2 linked regions of the Caenorhabditis elegans genome follow. The protein of the gene in region 1 purifies or fractionates together with the protein of each later gene. This does not show direct contact. Each region holds a gene or a part of one and is shown on either strand. Other genes may lie near its edges. The genes, in order: tbb-2 and ugt-49.

Region 1 (4,064 bases):
CTTTTCGGCGCCGAATGAATCACAGAAATAGAATTTCTCTTTGCAACTGATTAATATTTTGAGTTCCACTTTTTCAGTTGGCTAGTTCCTTAACTTCGTAAGCCAGGCGCGTCGTCTTTTCAAATTGCTAGATGGATGGGCACATTTTTTGAAATGCCTCGCCTGTGGCGGGTTGGTAAGGGACACCGCTGTCGCCCGTTGGTCAAGGCCGTCACAAAGCATTCGCGTCCCTGTCCATCCGAAACATAGAGGGCGCGGAGAGAAAAACGACGGGAGAAGGGAGGGAAGCACGGGCGGCGCCAGTCTCTATGTTTCTCGCTTGGTATAATGTGTCTCATCGACAACGGAAAGTGGGGGTAAGAGTAGAGCTCTTTTTCGTCCCCAGCGCCGACACACGACCCTTAACTCGACTTTTTTCGTCAGTTATTTCTTGGAATTTTTTTTTGAAGCTTCCCGTTGATTTGGATTGTATTTTAAAATCGTTATCCAACCAGCAACTGATCTAGATAGTACCCATTAACATTGTCTCCTGGCGCGTGTACTACGGTAATTGACCTTTCTCTGACTGGCTGCATGTGTGACGAAGTATTGGCTGCATATGTATCGTATTGTATAGGCGACCCCAAGCCGATTGTCACTGCCACGTCATCTCCGTTTCTCTTTTCTCCGCAATTCTCAATTCACCACCACCGCAGCCGTCAACAGGGGTACGATTTCCATCGCATTGAACTAGTTTTTGTCCCTCGTTTTTCTTCACGGTTCGTCTTCATCTCTTTTATTCTGAAGGCTTTTCAAAGCTGCAGGCCCCCAGCACATTTCATTCGGTTCCCATAGGATTACTGCGCGCCAAGCGGCATCTCCCTCTCTACCCCAAACCAATAGCACCAAATTGCACCCGATGAAAAGCCATCTGTGTCGTGTGCTCTATCTCCTTCTGCCAAACCTAGTGGTGACACGCAAAACAAATGGATTAAGCAAAAAGAGAGGGAATTGATGGACATTTTGTGTATGTTTCGCAATAGATTTGCCTCTGCTCTCTTCCTCTTCACCCATTCTACCCATATCTGCATATTTCGCAATAGTCTATTCGATTTCACCACCCTTTGCAGTCCAACAACGACTGCTGCCCCAGTGGCCACTGCGGTTTTTAATGCGAGCGGGCGCCGCGCGCCCCGTGTTCTCGCGATTATCGATCCGAATGCACACAGCGTCGGACACAACTGCGCCCGACCCGCCTCTTCTTCGTCTCCATTCCATACATCCCAAGAGCTGCATGTCTGCTCCTACAACGTCCTTTTGTTTCCTTTTTGGGGTAGCGATTATGAAAAGTGGGCTCATTTTAGAGCAAATAGAAAGGTACTTGCGCTGAAATTTTTATCGAAAGTAGTTAATTTCGGAGTGCAATAAACTAGAATCAACCTATATAGAATAGAAAAGAATCACCAATTAAACATCTCTTATATTTTTCAAGGTAACCTTATTCAACCTTATTCCTAATTCGTCTTTTAATTTCTTATTTTCGCCGTGAATCATTTAATTTCAGAGCACAATAAACTAGAATCAAATCACCAATTAAACATCTCTCAAATTTCAATGTATTAAAAAAACTTACTCCTTTAATTTTAAATTTTTGCCGTGAATCATTGCTTTTCAATATCGACCATGACGTGTTCTCTTTCTTTTGTTATTTTCCTTCATCTTCTCTATCTAAATATAGTTTTTCAATTCATTACGACCTTTTCAGCAAAAATGAGAGAGATCGTCCACGTGCAAGCCGGACAATGCGGAAACCAAATCGGATCCAAATTCTGGGAGGTCATCTCCGACGAGCACGGAATCCAGCCAGACGGAACCTTCAAGGGAGAGACGGATCTCCAGCTTGAGCGCATTGACGTCTACTACAACGAAGCCAACAGTGAGTTTTTAAAATTTTCTGGAGATTTCGAAATCGTTTAGTTGGAATGATTAATTAATTAAATTTTTTCAGACGGAAAGTATGTGCCACGCGCCGTGTTGGTCGATCTCGAACCAGGAACCATGGATTCTGTCCGCTCTGGACCATTCGGCCAGCTGTTCCGTCCTGACAACTTTGTGTTCGGACAAAGCGGAGCCGGAAACAACTGGGCCAAGGGTCACTACACAGAAGGAGCTGAGCTTGTCGACAATGTGCTTGACGTGATCCGCAAGGAAGCCGAAGGATGCGATTGTCTTCAAGGATTCCAACTCACTCACTCTCTCGGAGGAGGAACCGGATCTGGAATGGGAACACTTCTCATCTCCAAAATCCGCGAAGAGTACCCAGACAGAATCATGAGCTCATTCTCGGTTGTACCATCGCCAAAGGTGTCCGACACAGTTGTAGAACCATACAATGCCACCCTCTCCGTCCACCAGCTTGTTGAGAACACCGATGAGACCTACTGCATTGACAACGAGGCCCTCTACGACATCTGCTACCGTACCCTCAAACTCACCAACCCAACCTACGGTGATTTGAACCATCTTGGTAAGTTATTATTTCTTGTTCAAGTTTAAGTTATGCACAAGTTACCCAAATTGAAACCTAATAATTACAATTTTCAGTATCCCTCACCATGTCCGGAGTTACCACCTGTCTCCGATTCCCAGGACAGCTCAATGCCGATCTCCGCAAGCTTGCCGTCAACATGGTTCCATTCCCACGTCTTCACTTCTTCATGCCAGGATTCGCACCACTTTCCGCCAAGGGAACCCAGGCTTACCGTGCCCTTACCGTCGCCGAGCTCACCCAACAAATGTTCGATGCCAAGAACATGATGGCTGCCTGTGACCCAAGACACGGACGTTACCTGACCGTGGCCGCTATGTTCCGTGGACGCATGTCGATGAGAGAGGTTGACGAGCAAATGCTCAACGTTCAGAACAAGAACTCGTCCTACTTCGTCGAATGGATCCCGAACAACGTCAAGACCGCCGTTTGTGACATCCCACCAAGAGGACTCAAGATGGCTGCCACCTTCGTTGGAAACTCGACCGCTATCCAAGAGCTTTTCAAGCGTATCTCAGAGCAGTTCACTGGTAAGAAATTTGAAACTATCATCCAGTATCAGTTTTAAAAACGTTATTTTTTCAGCTATGTTCCGCCGCAAGGCTTTCCTCCATTGGTACACTGGAGAAGGAATGGACGAGATGGAGTTCACCGAAGCCGAGAGCAACATGAACGATCTCATCTCAGAATACCAACAATACCAAGAAGCAACTGCCGAAGACGACGTCGACGGATACGCTGAGGGAGAAGCTGGAGAGACTTACGAATCGGAGCAATAAATGCAAGATCCTTTCAAGCATTCCCTTCTTCTCTATCACTCTTCTTTCTTTTTGTCAAAAAATTCTCTCGCTAATTTATTTGCTTTTTTAATGTTATTATTTTATGACTTTTTATAGTCACTGAAAAGTTTGCATCTGAGTGAAGTGAATGCTATCAAAATGTGATTCTGTCTGATGTACTTTCACAATCTCTCTTCAATTCCATTTTGAAGTGCTTTAAACCCGAAAGGTTGAGAAAAATGCGAGCGCTCAAATATTTGTATTGTGTTCGTTGAGTGACCCAACAAAAAGAGGAAACTTTATTGTGCCGCCAAGAAAAAAGTCTCATTGCCTAAGAGAAACATATGTGGTTGGAAATCTTCCAGATCGTGGATCAATTGAAGAATTGTCATGTTGGCTTATAACGTGCCCAATGAGCCAATCATCTCCTATTCGATCCTCGACAAGAACACATTGACCTTCTCTAATCTTAAAATAATTCAGATTTATAATATAGATCTCAATTAAATAGAGCCACCTCAATCTCGTCAGCATGCTTCGGCTCAAAATCATAAAGAACTCTACAAATTGTCGGTGGACTTGAAGTGGGCTCATCGAAAGTTGTAGTTGTTCGAATAGGACCACCATTTGATGATGTTGTTGTTGTTGAGTAGAAACCGTCGTCGGATATCTGAAGATTGAAAAATGATTACTACTTACATGGGTTTTTCGCGGCAGAAATACGGTACGCGGTCTCGATACGAAAAAGGGTGTTTAAT
Region 2 (4,292 bases), on another chromosome or scaffold:
AAAATAGGGGCGAAAAATGAGACTATAAACTGATAAAACATATGTATTGGAAATCTTTGGATTTTTGCGGTTTGGTGTTGCAAAAGTAGCTATTAGAGTGCAGTACTAATAGGGATTTCAATGAAATTCAGTAATAAGGTAGCTAGAGTGTATGCGTTACATGTTCTGTATACATCTGAAATATATATTTCAGATAGGAAAGCTGTTTGTATTTGTTTGCAGAGAATAACCCGAAACCCTTTTCAAAGTTCAAAAATCGAATAAGTTATTTTTCGAAGGTTTACTACATTTGGGATTTTCTGAAATCATTATTGTCAGGACCTGAGACTAATAGTAAGGATGTACCAACTTGGCAGATAAGATATGATTTACAAGTGTAGGTAAATGGTATATCTAATAAATAAGTGACAGTCCATAATAGGAATTTGATATCTTATCTATACTTGCAGAAGATTATAGAGTTTTTCCATCTTATTTAGACGCGTATGTTTCTTCCATACTCTTCAACTTTCTAACTCATTTTTTCATGATATCAAAACTTAAGAATTAAAAACCTGAATTTTCGTTCTGGCATTCAGGAATCATACCTTACCCCACAAAATTCCCTCGTTTGGTAAACTTGTTTCATGTTTGCCAACAAAGTACGCCCAAACATTTTTCTCAGGATCTTAAAATCGCTCAAAAATTCCCATAACCATTCTCGCCGTGTCACATGTAGTTCAATTATTACAATTCACAACAACCATCTGCGTCTCTCTCGTATCAGTAATCTATTCTCGGGTTCTACCTATCAAACAATCTTGTTCCCGTGTCATTTTCTATTCTTGTCATCAGTCACTATTTGTCCAAAAACTGTCAATGTATCAGTGAATGGTTGTGTTTTCTCTGTATCACCATCTAATTCTTATGTCTAACCACTACAAGCACTCACTAGAAATAGTCTACAAAACACGGTATTTTTTAGAGTAGATGTTTCGACCAATAAGTCAAAATACTGTCGAGATCATTGTTGAATCAATTTGTGCCAGACGACATCTGCACTATTTTTTTCCTAAAGAACAAGTTACGAACAAAGTTCTCCCATAATGCTTCATTTCCTTTCAGTATTAAGAAGTGAAGAAACCAATTTTTTAAAAATATCAAAACTTAAAAAATTAAAGACCTGCATTTTAAATTTTTCTATAAAATATGGGTTATTCGAGTTTGTAAAAGTGAACCATCAAATGTAATTTCAGATTTCTCATTTTGTGATTTCGTAGGTGAAAAAATAATTTTCATATATTTTTTGTTCTTCATTCTCCAATGAATTCTGATTCATTGAAATGAAAATTGTTAGGGTGCTACTGTCTGCCATTTCTCTCCCTTCATATTTCATTTCTGTTTCCGCTGCCAATCGTTCCATGATTCGATTATTTTTTTCATTTTTCACTGTGTGTTTCTCTTGTTTTTTTTAATTTTTATTTTGTTGAATTTCTAGTACTATTCATGTGAAAACGTGGTTCTTTGTAGCTTCTTGAATTTTATCGACCTTTCACTAAATTGATAAAGGTTCGATGAAAATGGGTATAGAAGAATTTATAGATAAGACACACAAAGTGTTTTTAACAGTAAGATAATTGTTATATTTCACGTTCGTATTCGATTTTTCGAATGTGCATTCTATTGAATCTTTTTTTTATTTTCAGTAGTTTCAGGAGTTGATAATACGTGAATTTGAACGTTTTGAATTTCAGATCCATCTTGGGCATGTATACCTTTTTATTTCTTCTCCTATCTCTTCTAGCAGTTGATGCAGGAAAAATTCTTGTGTACAGTCCATCCATAAGTCGGAGTCATTTAATTTCAAATGGAAGAATTGCTGATGCACTCGTTGACGCAGGTCACGATGTTGTTATGTTCATTACTGAATATGAACCATTAACTGAATTCACTGGAACTAAGAAGGCTAAAGTTATCACTATGAAAGGATTTAGTGAGTTATGATTTGACTCTAACAACACTAAAAACACTGTTTCAGGTACAAAGTTTGCTGAAGACATGGATGGAATCGGAGAATACCTATTATCGAGCTCCAGATTAAGCTTTTTGGAAAGATTAATGTTTGAGAAAACGTGCACAGGCGCGTGTGATGGTGACAAGACCCAATATTATTTTCGAAACATTTTTTAAAATTTAGATTTAATGACAAGACGCGAGGAATTAGAACAACTGAGAGCTTACAACTTCGACGTGGCATTCAGTGAACAAATTGATTTGTGTGGAGTTGGAATTGTCAGATATCTTGGAATTAAAAATCATTTATGGATTTCAACTACACCAATTATGGATGCAGTTAGTTATAATTTGGGAATTCCAGCACCAAGTTCGTATGTTCCAACAATCGAAGAAAATGACAATGGTGATAAGATGGATTTTTGGCAGAGAACTTTCAACTTGTATATGAAAATTGGTTCAATCCTTATTCATAGATACGGAACTGATGGAACTACAGAGGTAGTTTATTTTAATTTAACCTAAAACTAATCTTTTTCACTAATCACAGGTCTTCCGTAAGTACATCCCAGACTTCCCAAATGTCAGAGAAATCGCTGCAAACTCTTCACTTTGCTTTGTAAATTCCGATGAAGTACTTGATTTACCAAGACCAACTATCACAAAAGCAATTTATGTCGGTGGATTGGGAATTCCAAAAGTTAGCAAACCACTTGATAAGGTTACACAATATTTGATTTTAAAATTATCTGAATATAGTTTTTTAGAAGTTCACAAACATAATGTCAAAAGGAAAAGAAGGTGTCGTAATCATTTCACTTGGTTCAATCATACCATTTGGAGATCTACCAGCAGCGGCAAAGGAAGGGGTATTGCGTGCAATCCAGGAAATATCAGATTATCATTTCCTTATTAAAATTGCCAAAGGTAAATAATTGACGGTTCCAGAGTACATCGAATAGTGCAGAAGCTTCAGAAGAATTTAAAAATAAATCCCCCATAGTAATTTGTCAAGATACTAATTTTTTGCAGGCGACAATAATACCAAGAAATTGGTCGAAGGAATTAAAAACGTGGATGTAGCTGAATGGTTACCACAAGTAGATATTCTTTCTCATCCAAGATTGAAGCTTTTTGTAATGCATGGAGGAATTAATGGATTAGTTGAAACAGCTATCCAGGCAGTTCCAACTGTAATTGTTCCTGTTTTTGCTGATCAATTTAGAAATGGACGAATGGTTGAAAAGAGAGGAATTGGCAAAGTTCTTCTGAAATTGGATATTGGATATGAAAGCTTCAAAAACACAGTTCTAACAGTTTTAAACACTCCAAGTTACAAAAAAAATGCGATAAGAATTGGGAAAATGATGAGAGACAAGCCATTCAGTCCAGAAGAACGCCTTACAAAATGGACACAATTTGCAATTGATCATGGCGTTTTGGAAGAGTTACACGTGGAAGGATCAAGATTAAATACAATTATTTATTATAATCTTGATGTTATTGCTTTTGTCCTATTCGTGTTCGTTGCTGTTCTTCACGTTTTCATTTATGCTTTCAAGTTTCTGTGCTGTAAGAAGAGATCTCAGTCGAATATTAAAAAATCTAAGAAAAATAATTAGCTGATATTTATAGTCTCTTTTAATAAAAATATTAAAAATAAATGTTATTTTCCAGTAGGTGTTCAGGTGAATTAAGCATACAAGACTTAACGAAAATAGAAAGTAGACTTTAATCTTTTCTACAATGTTATGGCCTCATTCTAAAAATTTTAAAAGCGTCAATGTGGTACCGGCCGGTATTTTTTCGGATTCCAGACAATCTGAAGTCTGGCTTTTGAATTTCTATTTGTTTCAAACTGTTTGTGGCCCAAAACAACGGGTTAAACGAATCGTGCAAGAAACGGAAATTCCAGACAGCTTAAAAACATCTTCCACTGCTAGATTTTTCAACCAATGCCTTAAAATTGAAGAAACCACTTTCTACCATCAATTAGTGTTCCAATTATTATCATCTTTTTTCCTGTTGAAAATAAAACATTCTGCGTTTACAAAGCACGACATTTTTCTGCCAAAAACCGTAGTTGACAACGAGTAGCACACCGCCAGAATGAAAAAGTTATATAAATTGATAAACTTCAGGTTGTATACTTTTCAAATGTTCTGTCTTATTATATTGCGGTTCAGTTCTAATCAGTTTTAAAGTATTTTGGAACCCATTTTAAATTTTTATTCTAAAAAATTATTGATTTAGAAAAAGTTGCAGGTGACTGTTATGACCTTATTAGTTATTCTTCTCCT

The links.
Region 2: the proteins of tbb-2 (region 1) and ugt-49 fractionate together in Caenorhabditis elegans (co-fractionation; one large-scale study listed by BioGRID). This does not show direct contact.

What each region holds. Positions count from the first base shown.
Region 1 is NC_003281.10:4,015,308-4,019,371, reverse strand, and holds tbb-2 (Tubulin beta-2 chain), read left to right. Parts: upstream 1-1,744; 5' UTR 1,745-1,749; coding exon 1,750-1,915; intron 1,916-1,987; coding exon 1,988-2,506; intron 2,507-2,583; coding exon 2,584-3,057; intron 3,058-3,112; coding exon 3,113-3,306; 3' UTR 3,307-3,462; downstream 3,463-4,064. Other genes in the region: C36E8.4 (SH3 domain-containing protein), read right to left, coding at 3,631-3,774, 3,824-3,976. UniProt on the Caenorhabditis elegans protein: Tubulin is the major constituent of microtubules, a cylinder consisting of laterally associated linear protofilaments composed of alpha- and beta-tubulin heterodimers.
Region 2 is NC_003283.11:10,370,594-10,374,885, forward strand, and holds ugt-49 (UDP-glucuronosyltransferase), read left to right. Parts: upstream 1-1,727; 5' UTR 1,728-1,746; coding exon 1,747-1,972; intron 1,973-2,017; coding exon 2,018-2,131; intron 2,132-2,176; coding exon 2,177-2,493; intron 2,494-2,542; coding exon 2,543-2,713; intron 2,714-2,759; coding exon 2,760-2,919; intron 2,920-3,024; coding exon 3,025-3,614; 3' UTR 3,615-3,668; downstream 3,669-4,292.